Cricetulus griseus: one gene and its partners. The protein of the gene in region 1 purifies or fractionates together with the protein of each later gene. This does not show direct contact. Links are inferred from orthologs where the notes say so. Each region holds a gene or a part of one and is shown in the gene's direction. Other genes may lie near its edges. The genes, in order: Mphosph6, Exosc9, Exosc3, Zfc3h1, Exosc6, Exosc7 and Exosc2.

Region 1 (4,094 bases):
AGGACCATCCTGGACTAAATTTAAAGTGACCCTAAAAGTCACTCACCACAATAGTTTTCTTTCTTCTGGAGTACTTACTACTTTTTAATGCACACAATGCCAGCTCCAAGAAAAGGTGGTAATGTGTTTTTAACCACTTGGTACTCTGCAATGTCTCACTCCCAGTTATGAGTAAATGTGTTTCTGTAACCACTTAACACATTATGTCTTTATTTACTCCACTGGGAAAACCTTCAGGGCTTTTAATATCCGGAATGCTTTATGAATCTCAGTTTTACCACCTCTCCAGCAGGTTGCTTAATACACGACAATGATGTGTTCTTCAGTGTTCTCACAAGGTACAGCACCCAGTTCAAAAAATGACGTCCACTGCATGCAAATTGCTAAATGTTACTCAGTGTCTTCCTGAAGTGTGGAACCTGAGAATGGCCTGGGGAAAAGTCTTCAGGGGGTGCAGTGAGCACTAAACGGAAAAGTACTAAAGCTACTACTGCATTTACAACTGTTTGCCTTAATATAGGCCTCAAGGGTTTTTTATTCTTAATAATTTAATTGCATTTGTTGTGAGGTGTGAGCATGTGTGAAGTCAAAGGACAACTTCCGTCCTTCCATCACGTGGATCCCAGGGATCAAACTCAAGTCCTCAGGCTTGGCAGCAAATGTCTTCACCCACTAAACCATCCCTGGCCCCTTCACAAGTTCTTTGTCGCCTTTCCTCGCGTGCAGCTCCTGCTAGCTCCTGTTTTTCTTCCTGTTTAAAAGGGAAATTCTCCAGGCTCAAAGATGCACAGCAAACAGGTGTATGTATATTTACCAGTTTTGTGTGCAGCGGTGCAACGGGGCATCGTCACTCCCAACACTGGGTTTGTGGCCACCTCCTGCAGGGAGTTCTAGAGAACGAGCTACCTAGGGAGCAAACCAGTAATGTTTTTAAAACTTTTAAACTCTGGCAGCAACCTCAGCGGCTTATCAGCAAGGGCCCTACAGACGGGGCGCTCAGGGGTCCCCTGGAGTCGCGGCGGCCCGGAGGCCCCGCCCACAGCTCCAGCGGCCTCCGGTTAATCTGCCTTCCTGAGGTAAACCCCCGCCCGCCTCCCGCGGCAGCCCGAGTTCTTACCACAGCGTCTTGGGGAGAGACGCGCTCCCATAGGAGCCGAGCGAGAAAAGCTAAAGCAACCATTGAGCACTCGGAACGTGGGCGGGGCAAGACCGGGTGCTGGGGTGGGGCAACGCGGCAGGGTGTGGCCAATAGGGGGTGGGGCAAAGGCTGAGGCGGGGCTAAGAGCTGCGGCGAGAGACGGCGACGTGGCGAGAGGAGGGGCACGTTTAGTGCCACGTCACGCTCAGCGCTTGACAGTGCGCAAGCGCCGTGGCTCCGGAGCCGCTGGAAAAGTACCCAACATGGCGTCTGAACGCAAGACTAAGTTATCCAAGAACCTGCTGCGCATGAAGGTGCGGGGGTTGGGGGTTGCTGGGGTGTCGGATGGGGCAGCTGAGCCCCGAGATGTCCCGAAGTGACTCGGGCCGAGGCGAAACGGGCAGACTGCACCCCAGATTGGCCCCGGATGGCCGCGGCCCGCGTATCCATCCATTCATTCGTTCAGCCTACCGGCCATTGGGCACCTGGGGTGAGATTATGATGAGGCAGACTCGCCTCAAGCCCGAAGCCCGTTGTGGGGACTGAGCTTGCACGAACGTAAGAACCTGCAGCGACTGCCGAAGTGTTAGGGCCGCCTGGGAACTTAGGCGTCTCGCGAGAAATGGTCCTTAAAAAGAAACCACGTGAAAGGATCTCAGGTAGTGTCCTGAACCAGGGTAAGTGAGTTCATAAGTCTGAGAGGGAGAAAAGAAAATTACAGACGTTTGCAAGAACAAAAGGCAGCTGGGACGTCTGAAAGGCAAGGGGCATAAAACTAGTCTGTAAAAATTAGTGGTCACTAGGAACTTTGTGATCCAGACTGAAGTTTTGTTCCCCGTTATCTCATGAGCAGTAAGGAAAGTGTTGAGCCCGGGAACAGTCTCATGAGTTGTTACCTATCAAAGCTACGAGAACTGTACTGTGGATAATAATTAATGAGAGAGAAGCCCAACCCCACAACACATAAACTTACAGGCAGAAAGACCAGCTAAAAGGTCCTGTGCTCTGGATGAAGGTTGTCATTGTGGTTGGAATGAAGAAAATTTTAAGTGGGGTGGAACGAATTGTCCATCAGCTTTTAAACAAAATCAAAATTTTAAAAGGTTTATGCTTATTTTTCTTTATGTATGCCTATAATATACACCATGTGTGTTCAGGTGTCTATGAAAGCCAGAAGAAAGTGTTGGAACCCCTGAAACTGGAGTTGTAAGCTGCTAGGTGTGGTTACTGAGACCTCTCTGCAAGAGCCAGAAGTCTTAGCCACTGAGCCAACTATCCAGCCACATGATTTTTAAATTTGAAATTGAACCAATTTGAACCAGCAGTAGTGGCTTGGTGGTACCCATTTGTAACCCCAATACTGTCAGCTGCTTAGCAAGTCTGTGGCCAGCTTGGACCAGACTAGAGACCCTGTCTCAAAGTGTCAAAAAGACGACAACAACAGAAACCTGAATGAACTTAACTACAGTCTGAAAAGGAGAGTGAGGTTAAAGTCACATTAATTAAGATGGGGGGGAAGCTAAATCTTAGGACTTACATAATAGTAATAGAACATATTTATTATCCTTCCTATATCCAGACATTGTTCTTGTTTCATATATAATAAACCACTTAATCCACATGGGAACATTTGAAGTAGCCACAGTCATTATCTCCATTGACACCTGAGGTATCTGAAACAGGAAGTAACAGCTAAAAAGACTGATCATCTGGCCCCAGAGTCTTTGCTGTAGTCTCTACCACCTGTCACTGAACGCACAGGTGGCACTTGACTTAAACGTCTCACTCAACAGTATTATAAAGATTATTTAACACGGGCAGCTGCCCTGCCTATGAAACGGTGTAGGTTAGCCACACAGTACACTGTAGAGTTTCTGTCATTTACCCCTAGGATGATGTGGCTTTCTGGGAGTGGTGCCCCATTGCCCCCACCACAGTGGAGTCCCCTGTTACATATGGCTAGCACAGGAAAAGGTCAGAATCTAAAGTACTGTTTCTGGTGTGTGGTATTAGATTCCCACCATCTTAAAGGTGGTTCATTAATCTAAACCTTTTTAAGGCGTGGGCTGTCAGTGAGAGCAGTGGCGTTTCCAAGAAAAGGAAATAAGGAATGAATGAGTCCTGTGTTGAGGGTCAGGGAGTAAACTTTCCCTGGAAGCTTTGAATGCAGTTGAGTTGTACTGCAGCTGGGAGTGAACAGAATGAGGATGGAGGGAGGGCAAGTTGCCCCTAATTTAGTTTGGCAAGTACTTCTTTCTGTGTGTGAGCAAAGTTTGAGTCTTTACCAGTTTAAGCAGTTTGTAATCATGCTGATTGCAGAGAATTAGAGCGGATCTAGGAAGCACTGAGTAGTCTTAGCTCTTGGAGTAAACCAAATGAGCCTGTGCTAAGCATACAGGGTGGACACTAAAGATCTGCCTCTGAGCTCGAAAATAATTAAAGCAATTATTTCCCCTCACCCAAGTGAACAAGATCCAACTGGACATGACAAGTGTGTGGGAGAGCATTACCCATGTTTTGTTTGTCTTAGCAGCTGTATTGACAACAACCTTGCTGGTGGGACAGGAGGTATTATGCACAACTACAGCAGTGTACTAGGAGAAGGCGTGGAACAGAGGTGCTTAGGGCCATTCAGGTAGAACTAATAAGGCAAGCATGAGAGCATTGGACATTTATTCCTGACTCACTTGTCTTCAGTACTTTTTAATTAAAATTTTAAAATTATTTTATGTGTATGAGCATTTTGCCTACATGTATGTCTGTACCACCTGAGTGCCTGGTACCCAAGGAGGCCAGAATAGGTTGTCAGGTCCCCTTGAACTAGAGTTACAGAGGGATGTGAGCCCCAATGTAGGTGCTAGGAGTCCAGCCTGTCTCCCCTGGAAAAGCAACCAGTACTCTTAACCACTAAACCATCTCTCCAGTCATATATATATTCATTCATATTCTTGTATGT
Region 2 (3,500 bases), on another chromosome or scaffold:
GGGACACAGTTGCCAAAGTCGTAAGTAATTATAAAATACATTATTTAGCTACTCAAATTAAGAAATTCATTTCTTAGTGTTTGGTCTCAAAGTGCTTTTGTATTTCTCTCATATGCTGTCTGTAAGCATTTGGCCTTTTCTTCTGAAACAGTACACTCCTGAAGAGCGGGACCCTGTGCCACTGAGCATCCACCACATGCCCATCTGTATCAGTTTTGCTTTCTTCCAGCAAGGGTAAGTGTCGCCTTGTCTTGGGCTGAAAATGTAAATATTCCCAGGAATTGGATTCTGTTTACTGAAACAGTCTCATATCTCACGATGACCGTGAGCTTCTGATCCTCCAGCCACCACTTCCTGTGTGTTGGCATTACAGGTATGTACTTTCATACCTGGTTTCTGTGGCGCTAGGAGTTGAACTCAGGGCTTTGTGAATGCTGTGTGTAACACTCTTCCAGCTCAGGATCTTTATTGCTCTGTTCTGATACACCTTAATGTTAGAGCATCTGTTGGTTTCTTCCTGACTTTGTAAGGATTTTTTAGTCATCGAAGCTAATTCAATATCAGGAAAATGGACCAGCATTATCTAGTAAAGTAAAATGTATATGCCATAAAAGTAACTTAAAATTTTCCAGTAGTCACATTAAAAGACAAGAGAAACATAGCAAGTGTGAAAACCAGAAATTGGGGAGGCAGAGACAGGAAAACCTCAGTGGCTTTCAGGCCAGCCTGAGCTCCATAGCAAACTCTAGACAAAACTCAGAAATATAGTAGGGTCCTTAATGAAAACAAAATAAAGACAAATTAAATTTTTTATATCTTTGTTAACCTTATAGATATAAAATATTTCATTTTATTATATACCAGAATTTTCAAAATTATTCAAGATTTTACATTCTTCTGTTTGTACTAAGTATTTTATACCCATGGTTGGAGTCGAGCTCAGTGCCCATGTGTGTCTGCCAGCAGAAGACACTGCAGAAACAGGCAGCCCTTTTCTGTGCCATCTACAGGTTCTAGAACTTAAGAGCACAGGGCCTTGGTGCTACTTGGAAATGAACCAAATTAATGTTATGTCTTTATTAATGAGCCAGAAATCATTTTATCAAAGAGATGGTGTGAGTATTGGGTTATATGTCATTTGAATTTCAGTCTGAACCTAGTGTGGCTTTATTGTAATGGCCACATAATTGAAATCATTGAGTTAGTGACTCAGCTCCTTCAATGCTGAAGTACTGACTTTGGATGTTAACTTTAACAAACCCACTCTAGAAACAGCACTCAGCTTCAGATATGTTCAGGACCATTTAACGTTTGTTTCAGAACATACTTATTGGTGGACCCCAATGAACGAGAAGAACGAGTAATGGATGGCTTGCTGGTGATTGCCATGAATAAGCATCGAGAAATTTGTACTATTCAGTCTAGTGGTGGGATAATGCTGCTCAAAGACCAGGTTAGTGCTTTGACTAGCTTCCCTCTAAGAGGTCTCTCTTCTGAAGATTTATTGTTACTTCGTTTTAGAATTATCCTTGTTTGTTTGTTTGTTTGTTTTGTTTTTTGAGACAGAGTTTCTCTGTGTAACAACCCTGGCTGTCCTGGAACTCTGTAGACCAGACTGGCCTCAAACTCACAGAGATTCCCCTGCCTCTGCCTCCAGTGCTAGGATTAAAAGCCTGTGCCACCACTGCCTGGCTTAATGTTATCTTTTAACTAAAAGCCACAGGGCACTTTAGTAAGTCTAGTCATATTAGAATCTGGTTTCAGTTCAGGTATTACATTCTAACAGGTAGACATGGTTATCCTTTCTTTCCTTGCCCCTCCCTGTATTTGTCCTTCTAGATCTGCCTGGAGGAATACCTTAGTTCCTTCAGTGAAGAAAGACTCATTACTACTTTTTAAAGTATTAAATGTATACACTAAGAGAAAGCTAAGTTTTAGTTTTGGAATGTGAATACAACCAGCAGTGAGTGATACTCAAACCCAGCCACATACCAGATCCACACAGAGGCAATTAGAAAACAGAGTGCCATGTAGCATTGTGAGCATTAACTATGTGCATGGAGCAGTTTTAGTTCCAGTTTTAATTGATCTTTATAGCCTTTCTGCAAATGACTTACTTCTGGGTCTCTGTGCCTTCTCCTGTACATTAGGGGATAATTCTATTGCTGGCACCATAGAAGGGATTGGAGGGTAAATGTGTAGGCAGATTATAGGTCTCTGGAACACAGAGTGCTCGGTGACTGCTACCTATGGTGCTAGGATTGCAACCACTATAGATTTCTGTTTCTGTGGATTACTGGCACAGAAAGGAAGCCTGAGCATTTCATTTGTCATCTCTGGTAGCTTAACTGTTTCATAAGTAAGTTCTCAAGTCTGTTCCTTTAATGTGCTAGACCTTCAAAATAAGTGATTCTCATATTTTGTCTTAGCTACTTACTGTACCTTAATTTCACATTTGGAAAAGAAATGCTTAAATTGTAAAGGTAGAATATTCATGTCATGGTTTTGGTTTCATTAGAAAAAGCCATTTAGTTTGTTGTCTTTAACAGCTCAAATTTACAAACAGGTTTTGAGATGCAGTAAAATAGCTGGTGTGAAAGTAGCAGAAATTACAGATCTAATACAGAAAGCTTTGGAAAATGACCAGAAAGTTCGGTAAGTTTAATTTCTCAGAACTATGTGCTCTTTAAATGTGTGTTTCTAAGGGATTTTAAGGCCAGCGGTATAATTTCATACTTTGTCTTTACTTAGTTAATCTCAGTTGTGTATATAGTAGGGCTTTTTCACACAAGAGCAGCCATATAGTTTCATACTTGGTCTTTACTTAGCTAATCTCAGTTGTATATACTAGTACTTAGTTGAGATTTTATTTTAAAAAGTCATAGAAGTGTTTTCTTTAAAAGTTAACATGTTCTTATAAAAAAGAACCTAATAACTCAAATTAATAGAAGGAATAAAAAGGCTGGTTCATAGCTCCTCTTCTTGTTACCTCCAGCAATAAGTATCTAGTACTTCAGTGTACTTAACTTGTCCTGTGGAGGCTGGTGCCGTCTGTCTTGATAGCAGACTTGAAGCTTAAGGAATGTACTTCAGGTACCTATCACATATGCAGCAGAGGTTCAGTAATTATGGTGACATCTGTCTTGATAACTATGGTAGTATATCCTAGTTTGATTTCTGGTGCTGTGATAAAAACACACACCAAAAGCAACTTAAGGGAGGAAAGGATTTATTTGGCTTGTACTTCTAGATCACATTCACCAGGAACCTGGAGGCAGGTAGGCCTCCTTGATAGTTCATATACCTGTAATCAGGGAACTAACTCAGAGCTGAGGGAGTACAGCAGAAACCAGAGGAAGGCTGATTGCTGGCTCACAGGCTCATGCTTAACTACATTTCTGATATGGACAGGACCACCTGCCCAGGGAATGGTGCCCTTCATAGAAGGCTGAGCCCTTGGTTCATCAATTAACAATTAACTCCTCCACAGATAGGCTAGT
Region 3 (4,138 bases), on another chromosome or scaffold:
AATCCCCCTTTGGTTCACCTAATTAACATGCCCAATCTAAATATATGCTAGCATCCTAGTCTATTTTGATGCAGACCTCTTTTTTCCCTTCTTAAAAACTACACCTTCAGGCTGGAGAGATGGCTCAGAGGTTAAGAGTACTGACTGTTCTTCCAGAGGTCCTGAGTTCAATTCCCAGCAACCACATGGTGGCTCACAACCATCCGTTATGAGATCTGGTGCCCTCTTCTGGTGTGCAGATATACATGGAAGCAGAATGTTGTATACATAATAGATAAAATCTTTTTTTTTTTTTTTTTTTAAAAACTACACCTTCAAAGTTACTTGCTGTTTTTCTGCCCGAGTCAGAAAGCAGCCACTTTAATTTTTCTTCCCTGATTAATAAAGGATCTCTCTGTGAAATAGGTGTTTGAGGAGTGTGTGCTTCTAATCCGGTCCAGGAGAGAGCCCCCTGCCCCCCCATTCGGGCTTTCCTTCAATTGGTGTGCTCCAAAAGAAATAGGGGCAAGAATTGTTCTGAGTTACTGATTTTCCTAAGCCATGTAGAGATAACTCAAGTAGGTGAAAAGGTGTGATATGTGTTGCGCGCGGGGGTGGAGTGGGGGTGGCGGGGGGGGAGCCCTAGAGTGTAATACACATAAGTGTTACATCTATTATGTACAAATGATAGGAACTACAGCTGAAAACACAGCAAAGGAGACAAATGAGTAAGACTTCCGTTGTTCTTTCTTTTTAATAATTGATTTTTATTTCATATGCATTGGTATTTTGTCTGCATGTGTATCGGTGTGAGGGTGTTAGATCCCCTGGAACTGGGGTTACAGGCAGCTGTGAGCTGCCTTGTGGGTGCTGGGTCCTGTGGAAGAACAGCCAGTGCTCCTAAACCATGAAGTCATCTCTCCAGCCCCTATTGTTGTTCTCCCATTCTTTATATTTTACAGAATTTAAATTGGTAGCAACGTCCAAACAAGTCATACTTTGCAAACCCTTTTTTCCCAGTTAAAATTTCAGCCACCTTTCTGTAGGCTGAATGGAAAGTAAAGCCTCCAAACCCAATACCCAGGGGCCCTTAGTTCCAGCACCCGTAGAGACTAAGCCGAAAGACCTGACACGGGATGTGAGGGCTCCAAATGAACTCCAGCTGGGCGTCTCTTTCACCCACCCGCGGAGAAACCACAGGGTGGGTGGGCTGATAGCTCAGATACGGGTGTTTGGGGGTGGGGAGGAGGGGGTACCGAAGAGAGGATGTGACTGGTTGGCGGTCTGAAGTCTATTTCAGAAAGCCCACAAAAACCGGAAAGGGATAACCCTGGAGGGCGGGCTCTTGGATGCGGAAGCGGAAGTAAAATGCCGGAAGCTGCGACGACTCCTGCTATGGCTGAAGTACTGTCGGTTGGGAAAGAATCGGTGGCCGGCTGCCGGGCGCGGGTAGCGCACAACGTGCTGAATCAGGTGGTTCTCCCTGGGGAGGAGCTGGTGCTGCCGGAGCACGAGGACGTAGACGGCCTTGGCGGCGCCGGGGAGCAGCCTTTACGTCTGAATTCGGGGGCGCGCCCGCGGCTGCGCGTCGTGTGTGGCCCGGGTTTACGACGCTGCGGGGACCGCCTGCTGGTCACCAAGTGTGGCCGCCTGCGCCACAAGGAGCCCGGAGGAGGCGGCGGTGGCGTTTACTGGGTGGATTCTCAACAGAAGCGGGTGAGCGGACGTTGGAGAGGCCGTGCTGCTGCGATAGTGGAATCCCAGTTCTGGGAAGACTCCCTGCAGCGGGGAGGAGAGGATGAGCTCAGCCTAGAGCCGCGGTGGCTTCTAGGTCCCCTCTGCATCTTCTTTAGAGGAACCACAGTAGAAACACAGCTTGAGAAGGGAGAAAGGAGAAAGGGGCTAGAAAGTAGGAAGCCGCAGGCGTGCCATGTGGAGTCCCAGTTTCAGTGAGTCTAAATAACAGGGAGTTAAATTATTCGTAGAGTAAGAGCTTTCATGTAGAAGTGTCTAATGGGTGGGTTTCCTTGACTGTAAGGATTCTTGTGCCGCCGGATGTATAAAAGATGCTGAAGTATGAAACCTGACTCAGGTCAACTACGGATTAGAGACAACAAAGTTGGATTGGTGCGGCCCGGTTTTGTAGTCCCAGCTACCTGAGGAATATGAGTTGGGAGGATTGTTTGAGACCCATCCTGAGCAACCTTGCTAAAACTTACTGCATATATGTTACAGTAGTCTTTTATGGTTGTTCTTTCATTATGTTTTGCAGTACGTACCCGTGAAAGGAGACCACGTGATTGGCATAGTGATTGCTAAATCTGGAGATATATTCAAAGTTGATGTTGGAGGGAGTGAGCCAGCTTCTTTGTCTTACCTGGCATTTGAAGGAGCAACTAAAAGAAACAGACCGAATGTGCAGGTAATGATGGGAGCCTTTGGTTTCAACAATAAGGCAAAAATAGCCACTCCCCAGAAATTTAGCTGCCCAGAGGACTTCCTGATTTGTCTCCAAAGCATAAACTATCCTTCAGATTCTCCAAGATAGTTCCTTAGGCGCTGCAGCTCCAGAACCAGTGCTGTGTTCTTGGTTCTTCTCTCCCAGGTTGAAGGGTTATGTTTGCTTCCCCTTGTTACCTGTGAGGTTCATATCCATATCACAAGGAAAGTGTCCCTAGTCTAAGGGACACTGGTACTGTCAGTCATCTATCTCTTCATCTTGGCTCTGAATCCTTGGAGCTGACAGAAGAGTGATCTTGTTACTACAGGATTTCTGGTTGGTTTAGCTGTATCCTTCCTGAGGATACATGTGAGCCAGAAATTTGATGGCATCTGTGCTACTTTTCTTTCAACTCTCACAGGTCTTGAGTCATTTGATCTTATTTGTTCCATCTCTTGTCTTTTGCATGCCTTATCCCTTTGTGTCTATGAGTTCAAGCATTTGCTCATTTTTGACAAAACTGGGCAGCAATCTCATTAACATTCCAGCTTCCATCTGTTAATATCCTCATGTTGACATTCCCTTTTTAAAGGTTTTATATGTGTGGATTTTTTTAAAAAAAGATTTAAGTATATGTGAATGCTCTATTGACTTTATGCCAGAACACAGCATCAGATCCCACTATAGATGGTTTTGAGCCACTATGTGGTTGCTGGGAATTGAACCCAGGTCCTCTAGAAGAGCAACCAGTGCTCTTAACCACTGAGCTATCTCTCCAGCTCCCATATTCCATTTCTTAACAGGAAAAAAAATGTTCAAATCATAGAGAATTCATTGGCATTGTGCCCCAGGGGTCTTCCCTCATATTAGCACTTCATGCTAATATGCTTAAGTTTCACAACACCACTGAACTTGGTTCCTTTGGGTCTTTAGTAATGGTGCTCTTCTGTCTGGATTGCAGTCTCTCAGCCTATGAGACAGACATCCATCCATTGAGATCCAGGCTAAGCACGACTATGTAAAGTCATTCATCATCATCACTTTTCCTGTATCTTTACCATGGTACTGGATTTATTCTTGAACTTGTCATGAGTTTATTCATTCTTGTTGCCCTGTAGAAGATCACATGTTCTTGAAAGGCATAAAGTGTCTTATGATTCATTCCCTCTAAGTTTTGTAGTCACCCAAAATGGTGGGTACTTAAATATTATTAATGTATGCATATCGAGGGTGTTTTGGCTCTATGTATGTATTTGCCCTCTATATGACTGATGCTTGTGGAGGTCAGGCAGGAAGGTCGGGTCCCCTGAAACTTAAGTTATGAATGGTTGTGAGTTGCTAGGAGGGTGCTAGGAACCAAACCTGGGTCCTTTGCAAGAGCATCAAGTACTCTTAACCCGTGAGCCATCTCTCCAGCTCTCAACAGTGGGGATTTTTAATGTTGAAATTCATTCTGTTTCCTCAGCTTCATCATTTTAAAGTTCAGTTTTGTAACATTTTAAATCTAGAGCTGGATGGTACTGGTGCACACCTTTTATCCCAGCACTTGGGAGGCAGCAGCAGGCAGATCTCTGAGTTCGAGACCAGCCTGGTCTACAAGATCTAGTTCCAGGACAGCCTCCAAAGCCACAGAGAAACCCTGTCTCAAAAAACCAAAAAAAAAAAAAAAAAAAAAAGGATTTCTGGATGAAGGGAACTTTTCTGCTTTTCTGTCTTATA
Region 4 (4,189 bases), on another chromosome or scaffold:
CCTCCGCAGTCCCAGTGTGTGCCCTATCACAAAACGTTTTTCCCACGCTGGTCAATTCGGCCAGCGAGAATTTCCTAATTTTAAAACTCGAGCACCGCAGGGTTTTTTTTTTTCGGGGATGTGTTGACTTGAACGGGGAAATGCTCATTCCCTTAGGGTGTCACTCGTGTCAAGGCATGGTCTAAGATATTAAACACAGAACAACAACAGAGGAGCAGACGGTAAAGGCACGCTCGTCACTCTTTAATGCGAGGGTTACGGCTCACAAGAACCCGCGTTTCTTTTCGCCAGGCAGGTGTCAACTTTCCTCGGTGGGGGGGGGGGGGGAAGAGGCACCAAAAAGGTCTCCAGGGGCGCGAAGCCACACACAAAGGGACCCCAGGCACCCCCCCCCCCCCGCTCCACCCGGCTATTCTTAGCAGCCGGGCTCGGGTCCCGAGTCGCCTCGTGCCTCGGCTGCCCGTCTGCGTCACCCCCGCTCCCTCGCCCGGGTTACCTGTGGAAGCTGACGTTAATGTGCTTGTTGTAGGTGGCAGCACAGCCCGCCGCGGCGCAATTGGTCGGCATCTCCCCCGGCCCCTCATTCGGCGGCGCTCCCTGACGCCACCGCAGCCCGCTACAGCCGCTGTCACCACGCCAGACAAACGAGGAGGCCGGCGACACGAGGAAGAGGGGCGTGCACGCTACACGGGCGGGAGGGAGCGCCCACTCCCCGGCCTCTTTATTAACATGGCGGGGTCCGGCTCGCACTAGCCAACGGTCCTGCGGCTCCCGGCGCACACGCTCGCCTTCACCAACATGGCGGCCACACCCGCTCCCCCGCTCCCCTCCCCCCGGCCCGGGGTCCCAAAGACAGGGAGGTACACTGCGTCTCAGATAAGGGCGCCGGAGCAAGGAAGAGATGGCAGGTGTCTTCCCCACCAATGAGTGACTCTGAAACGCAGGCCCGCTACCCGGACACCGACCGGGCCATCTCAGCCGGCATGATGCCAGCTGGGGACAGTTAGGTCCGCCGGGATCAAGGGCGAAGCCTTGCGCGAGAGCGGACTACAAATCCCAGCGAGCCTCGCGCCCGGTCGCGCTTCCTTTATATCGCGAGACTCGGAAGTCGCCTCCTTCCGGCGTGCCGCCGGAAATGACGACCGGGACTCGGCCTCCTCCTCCACCTCCACCTCCTCCTCCTCCACGGCTCCTTTCTCGCGAGGCGGAAGAGCAGCAAGGGGGCGCTAGGAGAGGGTACTGGCTGAGCGACGGTCCGGCGAGAGAGCGATCTGGGGTGCGGGGAAGTTGGGGAGCAGAGCCTGCCAGGCGTCCGAGCACGGGAAGGCCGCGCCTGCCGGGCCCGTTAGGACTCAGGGGAGAGGAGGCAGGGGAAGGCAGCCGGCAGGCAGCGGACGGGCGGGCGGAGGTCGGGCGGCGGGCGGGGGTCCCCGGACGGAGGGCTAAGGTGGTGTGACCGGCGCCGCTCCCCGGATGGCGACCGCTGATCCTTCGACCCCGGCCTCTAGCGGCCTCTCCCCGAAGGAGGAAGGGGAGCTCGAGGATGGGGAGATCAGCGACGACGACAACAACAGCCAGATCCGGAGCCGGAGCAGCAGCACCAGCAGTAGCGGCGGCGGGCTGTTGCCGTACCCGCGGCGGCGGCCTCCTCACCCGCCCCGCGGCGGCGGATCCGGGGGAGGCGGCGGCTCGTCGTCGTCGTCGTCCTCTTCTCAGCAGCCGCTGAGGAATTTCTCACGCTCGCGGCACCCGTCGGAGCGGGGCCACCTCAGGGGACACAGCAGCTACCGACCCAAAGAACCGTTCCGGACTCACCCGCCCCCGGTGCGGATGCCTTCGGGCTCCCTGTCGGAAAGCAGCCCCCGGCCGTCGTTCTGGGAGCGGAGCCACATCGCCCTGGACCGTTTCCGCTTTCGAGGCAGGCCTTACCGGGGTGGGAGTCGGTGGAGTCGGGGGCGAGGAGTGGGCGAGCGAGGAGGCAAGCCGGGGTGCAGACCTCCTCCGGGAGGAGGAGGAGGAGGAGGAGGAGGAGGAGCGGGATCCGGATTCGGCGGCGGCGGCGGCGGCGGCAGCAGCAGCAGTAGTCAGAGTTGGCGAGAGCCCTCTCCACCTCGCAAGAGCTGTATCCTTAACGTGGCGGTCTGCCCTGGGTGTGTCGCTAACGGAGCTCCCGTTAGCGCCACGACTAGGTTCCCCCCATCCCCGAGTCCTAACTTTTCGGAACCACCTATTTGTCTCTCGGTGCGCCAGCAGTTGTCGAGTGCCACGCACTCCACCGCTGTTTTCTTAGATTGTTGTGTTGGATTGGACCGCTCTCGAACTCATGAGTGTGCCATGGATTCGGGGTCAGCTAGAGAAACCAACGGTACGCACCAGCCGCCCAGGTTTCATTAGTACTTTGCTTTTTTTTTTTTTTTTTTTTTTTTTTTTTTTGCTAGCACCGGAGTTTCGTATTTTATGGGCAATTCGCTTAGATTATTAGAGAAAAGAAGGACTCATAAACGTCTCGAGGAACCTTGTTGCTTAATATCACACCCTGGCATTAGGATTCGTCAAGTTTTCCTCTGTAATTTTACCGTCCTTGTGAATTTTTTTCTTGCTCTCGTAGTTATCCGTTCTCATTACTGCCTTTGGAAGTGTGTGTGTGTAGACCCTTTAATTATCTGTCTATTTACTTATTTTTTAACCAGTTTTAGTAATTCAGATCTTTTAAGTCCATCCATACTTAGTTTGGAAAGCTAAGTTCCAAACTATGCTTAATGCTATGCATTAAGTTCACTTTCCTTATGTTCGCTTTGGGGCTTTGTAATTCTTGGTGCTGCCAACATTCAGATAGAGGAAGATAAACTCATCAGCACTTTTATTGTATTGTGTTTCTGAGCGGGATGTGTAGAGTATGGACCAGTGGGAAAGAAAAACAGCCAGTTTCCTAACTTTTGCCCCCTCTAGCCTTATTATTGGTTATCTTTAACATTACCAAGTTTACTCAGGATTTATTTTCAGAAATTAATCGTCCAAAGCGTTTGTGTTTTGCGATGGGTTTATACATCCCGACTTGTACAAATTGTTTAACATAGTTTACTAAGCACTTTTATTACTAGCTGTAATTCCCATGATGCAATGGTGGTTTAATATATTTTCTATGAGGTTCACATATGACACTTAATTGGAAGCTACTCAAAATTATTTTTATGAAGCACTTTGAGCGATATTGGCTTTTTCTAGATGTCATGATGTTAATGGGGAAGGGATATTTAAAGAAATAACAGGTTTTGGTTCCTGTGTCCTGGCAAAGCTTATCCTTCTATCACCTATAATTGGTTTGGAAGCATCTCAAGATTGTTATGGGGGAAAATGACAGGTAGATAACCTTTTAAAACAGTGGAGGTTTTCTCACAAAGATTAGAAACCCTTTGCCCATGATTATATGGAACACCATGGCCTTTTGTTTTCCGAATTCAAAAACAAAGGATGTTTAAATACATAAACATGTTTTTTAAGGTTATGTAGATGAAATGTGTAACTTGTGTTGGAGAAACAAATGAAAATAGAGTTTAATAAAACATCAAATTGAGGACAAAAGCACAGTGGCAATTCAAAGATGACAGGCTTACCTGCCTCCTTCCTCCCCATTTTCCTGTTTGTTCCATACTGTATAGGGTATGCCATATACTGACATTTTTATGTACTTATGGAAGAGCATGTAGGTAAATATCCAGTGGTTATCAGAAATCAGCTGTCACATTGATTGTGTTTCAGATACTGCAGTTTAAGAACAAGATGCAAAAACTGGTCGTTGGTGGCGCATGCAGTGTTCGGGAGGCAGAGGCAGGCGGATCTCTGTGAGTTCGAGGCCAGCCTGGTCTCCAGATCGAATGCCAGGATAGCCCCCAAAGCCACACAGAGAAACCCTGTCTCAAAACACACACACACACACACACACACACACACACACACACACACACACACACACACACACACACACACACACACACACACACACACACACACACACACAAAACAACAACAAAAACCAAGGTGCTTGGTTTGCTTGTCTGCATTATTGTTCTCATGAAATATCAGTACACTACCCTAGAGATAGTGTTCTTAGTAAGAATTGGAGAAGGAAAACATAATGGGAGCAAATAAAACTTGTAATACCAAGCCCTATCCATAGTCCTTTAGTATC
Region 5 (3,065 bases), about 7.0 Mb from region 1:
AGAACTGACAGGAGAGAAGCCCTCACTGGGAAGCGTTTCCCCATCAAACAAATGTGTCAGAATGCAGGAGTGCACCCAGGAGCTCCCCTGCCATGAAGACATTTGAGTCTTGGGACCTTTCAGTCGCCCTATCCGTCCTAATCCAGCAGTAACTGGAACATACCTGGAGCTGTCCTGTGACTTATTGCCCCTTTCCGTTACTGCTCTGAGCCATACTGTCAGCACCATCTGTCTAGAATCACTACCCCAGGAATGCTGTTGAACATCACCGTGATCATGTCTAGATAAGACCACTCTGCCGACCTGAGGCTTCTAGGTCATCTGCAGGTAGGAAGCCTTTTTGTTGCAGAAAATAAAAAGGACCATGTGCAATACTTGATAAATGCATTCTACTTTTTCTCCCCGGGGTGGACCCTGACTCCCTGTATGTCTGCAGAATACAGGCTGCAGTTCCAGCTAGTTTCTGATTGAAATGATCACAGAATACATCCCTAGACCCCTGAACTTTAGGAGTGGCCCCTGGGATGGCAGAGACATAATGGAAGGGCTGAATTGAGGCATTCAATAGAGTGGGGAAGGTTTCTACAGAAATTCTCAAGTGGAAAAACACCTTTCTCAGTCTCTTGGGACAACCTCTTAATGCCTTGGACCATGTATGTCTCATCTCTACCTCCTTTTGAAGTTGCTGATATGAGGTCAGAAAACTAATATAGGAAGTATAAGCATGGAGGTGTCTGTCTCCCAGTAACTGTCCTATCTGTGTTTCTTAACCTAAAGTAGTTCAAGCCTGGCCCAGCCTAAAATGTAATTAGTCTGAGTCTACAAACAGCAGAGTCTGGAAGCAGTAGTGTGTGGGAGGTAGAGATGTTGCCTGCTCATGCCAGTTCCTCAGGGTGTTAGAAATGTACATATATGCGTGCGTGCGTGCGTGCGTGCGTGCGTGCGTGCGTGTGTGTGTCTGTGTACACACAGTATAGGAAGAGAAATTTCCATCAGTTTATTAAACAAGTGTTGAAGCCAGCTGGGGGACTGAGTACAGGAGTGAACAAAAAGCCCTGATGTTGTGCAAGTTTATGTAAAAAAAGAAAGTGTAAATGCAAAATTCAAGAAATAACCTTAACAGGTTAAGAGTCATTAAGATCAGGCCAGGTCACAGCGCGGGCCAAGTCCAGCTGTACCTCCTCCACACCTCTAGGTGGCAGTGCATCCACCTACCGCTCTCCCGACAGGCTGCGCGCGGGCGCGCCTGTTTTAAGTAAGCGGAAGAGCCGGTGCGCAAGGTAGCCCAGCAGGCGGAAGTGGCTCGTGCGCCGGTAGCCGCCATGCCGGGAGACCACCGTCGTATCCGCGGGCCGGAGGAGTCTCAGCCGCCGCAGCTGTACGCGGCCGACGAAGACGAGCTGCCTGCTGCCCGCGACCCGACGCGGCTACGGCCGGTGTACGCGCGCGCCGGGCTGCTGAGCCAGGCCAAGGGCTCGGCCTACCTGGAGGCCGGAGGCACCAAGGTGCTTTGCGCCGTGTCGGGCCCGCGCCAGGCCGAGGGCGGCGAGCGCGGCGGCGGCCCTGCGGGAGCGGGCGGCGAGGCTCCGGCCGCCCTCCGTGGCCGCCTGCTCTGTGACTTCCGCCGCGCGCCCTTCTCCGGCCCCCGGCGTCGCGCCCCCCAGGGCGGCGGCGAGGAGCGCGAGCTGAGTCTGGCGCTGCAGGAGGCTCTGGAGCCCGCGGTGCGCCTGGGGCGCTACCCTCGCGCCCAGCTCGAGGTGTCCGCGCTGCTGCTGGAGGACGGCGGCTCTGCGCTGGCCGCGGCTCTCACGGCCGCGGCGCTCGCCCTGGCCGACGCGGGAGTGGAGATGTATGATTTGGTAGTGGGCTGCGGCCTGAGCCTCGCACCGGGACCCTCGCCCACTTGGCTGCTGGACCCCACGCGGCTCGAGGAGGAGCACTCCGCAGCCGGCCTCACGGTGGCGCTCATGCCGGTGCTCAATCAGGTGGCCGGGTTGCTGGGCAGCGGGGAAGGCGGCCAGACTGAGAGTTGGACGGACGCGGTGCGCCTGGGCCTGGAAGGCTGCCAGCGCCTCTACCCAGTGCTGCAGCAGTGCTTGGTGCGAGCTGCCCGCCGGAGGGGCGCCGCCGCCCCGTCCTGATTGGAAAACCCGAGCAACAAGGATGCGGATGACTGCTGATGTCCTTCTTTCCCAAACGGCCCGGCTGCTGGTCGCCTGCCTTGGCCGAGCTGAGAAACGAGAGTGGGAGGCAGCGCGCACTGAACCGAAGCGCTGGACAGCTGTGTTGGAACGGTTTAAAGGGCCTTAGCAGCCTTACTCCCAAGTTGGAAAGGACTTCGGCTGGATTACCTGGTAAATGAGCTGTGTTCTTGTAAGGGATGGACCCTGTGCAGGCCAGCCATTGGCTCCAGTGTATGATAAACTGCTTCTTTTGAGAGGATGGACAAGGGACTTTGCCTTCTCACTACCCGAACTAAAACATAAAAACCTTTTTTATACCTGAAAATACATCTTGTGGCTTTTCTTGGTACTACAGTTAGAAACAATGCCGTTTTGAACTGGGCATGTGTTGAGTCTGTATTGCCAGTATTGACTGTATTGTCAGTACTATCTTAAATTTTCCTGTCTCTTAGCTCACTGTAAGTGAAAAGGAGTAACGTGCTTTAGAGGAGAAACCTCCTGCCCTAGGAGCAGTGTCTGAGGTGAAAAGACCGAGGAGATGTCAGAACAGCCAGAGCTACACAGAGAAACCCTGTCTCCGACAAAACGACAGGAGAGTTAAATAGCCTCAGAAATCTGGGTGCACACCTATCCTCTCCTTTGAAGCACAAGATCATGTCTAGGAGTTGGGTAACTGGAAAGGATTATGCTCTAGAAAGAAGCCCTGTCACTCCCTTCTTTGGCCAGTAGGGTAGCATAACTGGAGGTTTCCATGACTTTGCAGAAGTGATAGTGCAGACCTTTAAAACCCAGCACTGGTGGGGCAGAGGCAGGTGGATCTCTGAGTTCTAGGGCAGCCAGAGCTACATAGAGAAACCCTGTTGCAAAAAAGGAAAAAAGAAA
Region 6 (3,500 bases), on another chromosome or scaffold:
CAGCCAGGCTTTGTGGAAATGGGAAAGAAGGTTGTCATCAGAAGTGGCTTAGCCTCTGAGATGAGTCTTCTTGGCTAGCTGGTTCGCATGGGTGCCAGGGAGTTGGGGAAGCTGTTTTGCTGTGAGGGAGTCCTGAGAAAATGGATGTCAGCTTGTGAAACCTAGCTACCCAGATCACGAACAGCTATCAGTCTCACTCTCAGGCAGCAAGGAACAGTGACCCCATGATGCCCTTGGATAGAAGATAGAAAGAACTTTGTACATTGAAGTCCTCCAGAAGAGTTGATGCCACTCTGTCTTCCCCAATCCTCTGCCTATGTTGGGCCCAAAGAATTAAGAAATTAAAAGTTCTCTCTCTTTCTCTCTCTCTCTCTCTCTCTCTCTCTCTCTCTCTCTCTCTCTCTCTCTCTCTCTCAGCCACCTTCCTCTTACTCCCCCCCCCCCCGTGTGTGTGTGTGTGTGTGTGTGTGTGTGTGTGTGTGTGTGTGTGTAAATATACAGACGTCTATTTTGGCATATCAGTCCTGTTTCACACTGCTTACTGCCCACTTCAAGGAGGATGTCACACTTAGTACTCTGAGGATGTCACACTGAGCACTCTGAGGATGTCACACTTAGCACTCTGAGGATGTCACACTGAGCACACTAAGGATGTCACAATAAGCACTCTGAAGATGTCACAATGAGCACTCTGAGGATGTCACACTGAGCACTCTGAGGATGTCACACTGAGCACTCTGAGGATGTCACAATGAGCACTCTGAGGATGTCACAATGAGCACTCTGAGGATGTCACAATGAGCACTCTGAGGATGTCACACTTAGAGCACTCTGAGGATGTCACACTTAGAGCACTCTGAGGATGTCACACTTAGAGCACTCTGAGGATGTCACAATGAGCACTCTGAGGATGTCACACTTAGCACTCTGAGGATGTCACAATGAGCACTCTGAGGATGTCACAATGAGCACTCTGAGGATGTCACAATGAGCACTCTGAGGATGTCACACTTAGAGCACTCTGAGGATGTCACACTTAGAGCACTCTGAGGATGTCACACTTAGAGCACTCTGAGGATGTCACAATGAGCACTCTGAGGATGTCACACTTAGCACTCTGAGGATGTCACACTGAGCACACTAAGGATGTCACAATAAGCACTCTGAGGATGTCACAATGAGCACTCTGAGGATGTCACACTTAGCACTCTGAGGATGTCACAATGAGCACTCTGAGGATGTCACAATGAGCACTCTGAGGATGTCACAATGAGCACTCTGAGGATGTCACACTTAGAGCACTCTGAGGATGTCACACTTAGAGCACTCTGAGGATGTCACACTGAGCACTCTGAGGATGTCACAATGAGCACTCTGAGGATGTCACACTGAGCACTCTGAGGATGTCACAATGAGCACTCTGAGGATGTTACAATGAGCACTCTGAGGATGTCACAATGAGCACTCTGAGGATGTCACACTGAGCACTCTGAGGATGTCACACTTAGAGCACTCTGAGGATGTCACACTTAGAGCACTCTGAGGATGTCACACTGAGCACTCTGAGGATGTCACAATGAGCACTCTGAGGATGTCACACTGAGCACTCTGAGGATGTCACAATGAGCACTCTGAGGATGTCACAATGAGCACTCTGAGGATGTCACACTGAGCACTCTGAGGATGTCACGCTTAGCACTCTGAGGATGTCACACTTAGAGCACTCTGAGAATGTCACACTTAGAGCACTCTGAGGATGTCACACTTAGAGCACTCTGAGGATGTCACAATGAGCACTCTGAGGATGTCACACTTAGCACTCTGAGTCCCTGACACAGAAGCTCTAGCCTCAACTTTTGACAGGTAGCGAGGATGTAAACAAGGTGGAGTTAACGAAATTCCTGCTTATAAAAAAAGAATTTCGCTGGGTGTTGGTGGCGCACGCCTTTAATCCCAGCACTCGGGAGGCAGAGGTGGGTGGATCTCTGTGAGTTTGAGGCCAGCCTGGTCTACAGAGCTAGTTCCAGGACAGCCTCCAAAGCTACACAGAGAACCCCTGTCTCGAAAAAACAAAAACAAAAACAAACAAACAAAAAAGAATTTCGGTTCCTGATCTCAAAAAAGGTTATGGTTCCTCCTTCCAGGAGATGGAAATTTCAATCATGCCTCTGTTCCCAGGATACCACGGGTTCGTGTTCTGGAGGATGAAGAGGGGGCAAAGGACATCGAGCTGTCTGACGATCCTTACGACTGTATCCGCTTGAGTGTAGAGAATGTGCCCTGCATCGTCACCCTGTGCAAGGTGTGAGCTTGTCTCTTAGCATTCTTGCCTTCCGTGGGGAGGCGGATCTCTTCCAACCCTAGGCTCTTGAGATTACTTCATAAGCTGAGAGGCTGTAGTTGTGCAAACCCTACAAATGTAGCTTTAACCCACATCTCATCATTCGGTTCCATTAGGTACAGACGAGTCCCAAGGGAAGGCTGCTTCATTAGCAGTCTGGCTGTCATGGTCCCTCTGCAGGCTCTGCACTCTATTGCACTGCTCATTTTCCATTAACTCCCTGTACTCCAGAGTCCAAGGTAGCTGAACACCGGTAGGTTCTCAAACAGTATTCCTCTATGGACCCTGATGTCCACATACAGGAACTGAGGGCTTGGGGCCAGTCCTAGGTGACACATGCCAAGTATAGTTTGCACGGAGCCCAGAGGTTTTCTGACTCTGACATCTGGCATAGCCTCAGGCTTGTGTTGGCTGGGATTGTGACTAATTCCACAAGAGACTCGTTATATAAAAATGAAGCTGAGCCAGGTGCAGTGGCTCATGTCTATAATTCCAGAACTCAGTAGGTGGGGACAGTAGGACTACTGCAAGCTTGAGACCAGCCTAGCCTATATATCAAGTACCTCGTCAGCATAGCTGCACAACAAAGACCTTGTTTCAAAACAAAACAAAACCAAAATCACACATTTCAGTCACTTAATACCACTGGAAGTTTTTTGAGAACTGAGATTGTAAAGAAATGTTCACAGGGCGTTGGGACTAAACAGAGCTCTGGAGGGTGGCATTATTTTGTATGTCCCTTAGCTGGGCTTTCTGGATTCACTGTTGGAGTGAACAAGAAGCCGTGGGGCCTCACATATGCATTTCCTGCCTGTGTTCCCTGTGGGAAAGCCTGGTGGTCTCTGTCCTGGTGGACTCTCTGCCCCCAAACTGCTTGTTGACATTTTGTCTTTTTATTATATTATTCACACAATGGACCATATTAACAATGTTGAACATTCCTTCCAGCATTTTCCAAACAAGCAGAATTTAAAATAAGATCTGGAACGAGCCATGCATGTACAGCCTTTGTAGGCTTGTGTCAGGGGGATCTGGGATCTCTGGTCTACTGTTCACATGTATGTTAAACAGCCCTGATCTTGCAGATTGGCTGCCGGCATGTGGTGGATGCCACACTTCAGGAGGAGGCCTGCTCCTTGGCCAGCTTGCTAGTGTCAGT
Region 7 (3,500 bases), on another chromosome or scaffold:
TGTGTGTGTGTGTGTGTGTGTGTGTGTGTGTGTGTGTGTGTGTGTGTGTGTGTGTGTGTGTGTGTGTGTGTGTGTGTGTGTGTGTGTGTGTGTGTGTGTGTGTGTGTGTGTGTGTGTGTGTGTGTGTGTGTGTGTGTGTGTGTGTGTGTGTGTGTGTGTGTGTGTGTGTGTGTGTGTGTGTGTGTGTGTGTGTGTGTGTGTGTGTGTGTGTGTGTGTGTGTGTGTGTGTGTGTGTGTGTGTGTGTGTGTGTGTGTGTGTGTGTGTGTGTGTGTGTGTGTGTGTGTGTGTGTGTGTGTGTGTGTGTGTGTGTGTGTGTGTGTGTGTGTGTGTGTGTGTGTGTGTGTGTGTGTGTGTGTGTGTGTGTGTGTGTGTGTGTGTGTGTGTGTGTGTGTGTGTGTGTGTGTGTGTGTGTGTGTGTGTGTGTGTGTGTGTGTGTGTGTGTGTGTGTGTGTGTGTGTGTGTGTGTGTGTGTGTGTGTGTGTGTGTGTGTGTGTGTGTGTGTGTGTGTGTGTGTGTGTGTGTGTGTGTGTGTGTGTGTGTGTGTGTGTGTGTGTGTGTGTGTGTGTGTGTGTGTGTGTGTGTGTGTGTGTGTGTGTGTGTGTGTGTGTGTGTGTGTGTGTGTGTGTGTGTGTGTGTGTGTGTGTGTGTGTGTGTGTGTGTGTGTGTGTGTGTGTGTGTGTGTGTGTGTGTGTGTGTGTGTGGTGTGTGTGTGTGTGTGTGTGTGTGTGTGTGTGTGTGTGTGTGTGTGTGTGTGTGTGTGTGTGTGTGTGTGTGTGTTGTGTGTGTGTGTGTGTGTGTGTGTGTGTGTGTGTGTGTGTGTGTGTGTGTGTGTGTGTGTGTGTGTGTGTGTGTGTGTGTGTGTGTGTGTGTGTGTGTGTGTGTGTGTGTGTGTGTGTGTGTGTGTGTGTGTGTGTGGTGTGTGTGTGTGTGTGTGTGTGTGTGTGTGTGTGTGTGTGTGTGTGTGTGTGTGTGTGTGTGTGTGTGTGTGTGTGTGTGTGTGTGTGTGTGTGTGTGTGTGTGTGTGTGTGTGTGTGTGTGTGTGTGTGTGTGTGTGTGTGTGTGTGTGTGTGTGTGTGTGTGTGTGTGTGTGTGTGTGTGTGTGTGTGCAAGCACTTACTGACCTGGCATCAATGGGAGAGTGGTTTGCTGTGGAGAAGGGGAAGCCGATGCCGGCAGTCTTTGTTTTGGGTTAGTTACTTTTAGAAGTGTTCACGAGCCATTTGTGTGGCTACTGATACTGGATAGCTTCATGACGCTCTCTCCCAAGAGCCGGGAGTATGGACGAGCCCCTGCCTCTCACCACTAAAACTCGGTGAGCTCACTGTGAGGGAGCTTGAGTAGAAAGAGACCTATTCTAATGCCTGGGCTTTTAGCAAAGAGCACTTCATCCTCAGAATCAGGGTGAGGGACCAGCAAAGTGCCTGAGCCAGGCAGGCATCGAGGAGAGGGCAGCTCGAGCCCCCATGGATGGTAGTGTGTTTCAGTGTCTCCTTCCCTCCATTGCGTGGTGATAAACTTGTCCCACCCCTATTCAGAAGCAAGTACTTTGTGTTTTTGTCACATAATCAAGCAAAGTTAGGACTGCAGTCTAAAGGAATGATTTGCAATGAGTAATTTCTTTTTTTCTTTTTTCTTTTGGTTTTTTCGAGACAAGGTTTCTCTGTGTAGCTTTGGAGCCTATCCTGGCACTCGCTCTGGAGACCAGGCTGCCCTTGAACTCACAGAGATCCGCCTGCCTCTGCCTCCCAAGTGTTGGGATTAAAGGTGTGAGCCACCAATGCCCGGCAGCAGTTTCTTTAAGGAAAACGAATGAAGTATATACACAGGGATTCTGAAGTCCCATCTGTTTACTCAGCCTCAAATAGTGCTTGGTCTGGTCAGCCTGCTGGCTACTGGGTAACCTTCTGCTTTCTCTTGCAGATACAATGGAGAAGTAGGAGACATTGTAGTGGGGAGAATCACGGAGGTAAAGTTGCTGTTTTACAAAGTGAAGGAGGCTGGTGGCTCAGGGATGGGACCTTCATTCTGTGAAATGCTGTATGAAGAAGGTGCCCTGAGATGCTGCCTTACTCTTTCCTTACAGGTTCAACAGAAGAGGTGGAAAGTAGAGACAAATTCCAGGCTGGATTCTGTCTTGCTCCTCTCATCCATGAACCTGCCCGGAGGGGAGCTGGTGAGTGCTTGTCTGCCCTAGAACTGTCCAGTTGAGCTGTGGGGCTTTTGTTCCACCATAGAACTCGGTTTACACTGTTAATGTTTTGTCATGGGGTCTGCTAGCTTGGTGAACATAGGCTTTTTCTCCTGGCTCTGGTCACCTGACATAGGCAGCAACTAGTGTTTGGTAAGACCAGAAACACATGTGGAGTGGGCTCCCAAGATGGAGCTGGGGAGAGGGGCTCCTGAATCTTGGTGCTAATTTCCTTTCTTGGTGGGTTGGCATTCTTGTGGGTTACACAGGGAAGGTGTCTGTGAAATGTTGGCCTTTGCTTTCTTTTCTTTTCTTGAGGGTGGGCAGGAGGTTGGTGTTCAGACGGGGTTTCTCTGTGTAACCCTGGCTGTCCTGGAACTCACTCTGTAGACCAGGCTGGCCTTTAACTCACAGAGATCTGCCTGCCTCTGCCTGTCAAGTGCTGGGATTAAAGTCATGTGCCACTAAGCCCCACTTATCCTTAGTTTTCAGTGACTTGAATGCACATGGTTATTCTAGACAGTGAGCTGGATCCTATGGAGAGTGTCAGAATAAATAAGGCACATCTGAGTCCCTTAAAGAACTTATAGATTGGTGGAGGATAGGAGATAGCTGAACCACATGGGGAGGCAGGAAAAGAAAGAAACATGGAGAGCAGAGAGGGGTTGTTTCATAGGAGGGCCCTTGGGGGTCTGAGAGTTGGAGTGAGGTTGGGACTCAGATGAAGGGAGATACGTGAGCAGACACACAGCCTGGTGGAAGTGAGGGTAAGTGGGGAAACAGGCTCAGTGACCTGTAGAGGGTCTGGATGTTAGCCTAGGAGGGTCCCTCTTGGAGAGCTAGTATCACCTCCCTTGTTCTCCAGCAGTTGAGGTTACCTCTTGTCATAGTTCTTTATGTTAAAATACCATGGTGGGCTACACAGACCTCAAGCAAAAAGCAGGGATGGAAAGAGCTCCTCCTGAAAGTGAGGCTTGTGTCATGTGGTCATTTTTCCGTGTGTTTCAGAGGAGAAGATCTGCAGAGGATGAGCTGGCCATGAGAGGCTTCTTACAGGAAGGAGACCTCATCAGTGTATCCTGACTTACAGGGCTGCCAGCTGACCAGAGGGGTCTGAATTCTGGGTCATATGTCCAGGGCTTGGCTGAAGCTTTGCTCTTTCTCCTTAGCTCAGAACAGTACTCTGGGTTTTGTAACTTGTGACCCATGGTGCAAGCTAGACACAATTGTCTTTCTTTTTAAGGATAGCCCAGGCTGGCTTGGAACTCACTGTGTACCAGGCTAACCTCAAACACAGCACTGCTGTCTCAG

What was found.
Region 2: the proteins of Mphosph6 (region 1) and Exosc9 purify together in Homo sapiens (affinity purification with mass spectrometry; 5 studies listed by BioGRID and IntAct, with this or other methods). This does not show direct contact. The link is inferred for Cricetulus griseus from reciprocal best matches to the Homo sapiens genes MPHOSPH6 and EXOSC9.
Region 3: the proteins of Mphosph6 (region 1) and Exosc3 purify together in Homo sapiens (affinity purification with mass spectrometry; 6 studies listed by BioGRID and IntAct, counting the BioPlex papers as one, with this or other methods). This does not show direct contact. The link is inferred for Cricetulus griseus from reciprocal best matches to the Homo sapiens genes MPHOSPH6 and EXOSC3.
Region 4: the proteins of Mphosph6 (region 1) and Zfc3h1 purify together in Homo sapiens (affinity purification with mass spectrometry; 3 studies listed by BioGRID and IntAct, with this or other methods). This does not show direct contact. The link is inferred for Cricetulus griseus from reciprocal best matches to the Homo sapiens genes MPHOSPH6 and ZFC3H1.
Region 5: the proteins of Mphosph6 (region 1) and Exosc6 purify together in Homo sapiens (affinity purification with mass spectrometry; 3 studies listed by BioGRID and IntAct, with this or other methods). This does not show direct contact. The link is inferred for Cricetulus griseus from reciprocal best matches to the Homo sapiens genes MPHOSPH6 and EXOSC6.
Region 6: the proteins of Mphosph6 (region 1) and Exosc7 purify together in Homo sapiens (affinity purification with mass spectrometry; 4 studies listed by BioGRID and IntAct, counting the BioPlex papers as one, with this or other methods). This does not show direct contact. The link is inferred for Cricetulus griseus from reciprocal best matches to the Homo sapiens genes MPHOSPH6 and EXOSC7.
Region 7: the proteins of Mphosph6 (region 1) and Exosc2 purify together in Homo sapiens (affinity purification with mass spectrometry; 8 studies listed by BioGRID and IntAct, with this or other methods). This does not show direct contact. The link is inferred for Cricetulus griseus from reciprocal best matches to the Homo sapiens genes MPHOSPH6 and EXOSC2.

The regions. Positions count from the first base shown.
Region 1 is NC_048596.1:194,432,457-194,436,550, reverse strand, and holds the start of Mphosph6 (M-phase phosphoprotein 6), read left to right. Parts: upstream 1-1,294; 5' UTR 1,295-1,401; coding exon 1,402-1,452; intron 1,453-4,094. UniProt on the Homo sapiens protein: RNA-binding protein that associates with the RNA exosome complex. Involved in the 3'-processing of the 7S pre-RNA to the mature 5.8S rRNA and play a role in recruiting the RNA exosome complex to pre-rRNA; this function may include C1D.
Region 2 is NW_023276806.1:113,107,304-113,110,803, reverse strand, and holds part of Exosc9 (exosome complex component RRP45), read left to right. Parts: intron 1-151; coding exon 152-234; intron 235-1,320; coding exon 1,321-1,453; intron 1,454-2,566; coding exon 2,567-2,655; intron 2,656-3,500. UniProt on the Homo sapiens protein: Non-catalytic component of the RNA exosome complex which has 3'->5' exoribonuclease activity and participates in a multitude of cellular RNA processing and degradation events.
Region 3 is NC_048595.1:98,138,479-98,142,616, forward strand, and holds the start of Exosc3 (exosome complex component RRP40), read left to right. Parts: upstream 1-1,338; 5' UTR 1,339-1,347; coding exon 1,348-1,695; intron 1,696-2,251; coding exon 2,252-2,401; intron 2,402-4,138. UniProt on the Homo sapiens protein: Non-catalytic component of the RNA exosome complex which has 3'->5' exoribonuclease activity and participates in a multitude of cellular RNA processing and degradation events.
Region 4 is NW_023276806.1:140,750,033-140,754,221, reverse strand, and holds the start of Zfc3h1 (zinc finger C3H1 domain-containing protein), read left to right. Parts: upstream 1-1,389; 5' UTR 1,390-1,473; coding exon 1,474-2,122; intron 2,123-4,189. Other genes in the region: transmembrane protein 19, read right to left, coding at 497-567. UniProt on the Homo sapiens protein: Subunit of the trimeric poly(A) tail exosome targeting (PAXT) complex, a complex that directs a subset of long and polyadenylated poly(A) RNAs for exosomal degradation. The RNA exosome is fundamental for the degradation of RNA in eukaryotic nuclei.
Region 5 is NC_048596.1:187,461,890-187,464,954, forward strand, and holds Exosc6 (exosome complex component MTR3), read left to right. Parts: upstream 1-1,246; 5' UTR 1,247-1,322; coding exon 1,323-2,141; 3' UTR 2,142-2,565; downstream 2,566-3,065. Other genes in the region: Aars1 (alanine--tRNA ligase, cytoplasmic), read left to right, coding at 1-8. UniProt on the Homo sapiens protein: Non-catalytic component of the RNA exosome complex which has 3'->5' exoribonuclease activity and participates in a multitude of cellular RNA processing and degradation events.
Region 6 is NC_048597.1:230,059,014-230,062,513, forward strand, and holds part of Exosc7 (exosome complex component RRP42), read left to right. Parts: intron 1-2,178; coding exon 2,179-2,302; intron 2,303-3,426; coding exon 3,427-3,500. UniProt on the Homo sapiens protein: Non-catalytic component of the RNA exosome complex which has 3'->5' exoribonuclease activity and participates in a multitude of cellular RNA processing and degradation events.
Region 7 is NC_048599.1:143,396,339-143,399,838, forward strand, and holds part of Exosc2 (exosome complex component RRP4), read left to right. Parts: intron 1-1,921; coding exon 1,922-1,967; intron 1,968-2,084; coding exon 2,085-2,174; intron 2,175-3,197; coding exon 3,198-3,263; intron 3,264-3,500. UniProt on the Homo sapiens protein: Non-catalytic component of the RNA exosome complex which has 3'->5' exoribonuclease activity and participates in a multitude of cellular RNA processing and degradation events.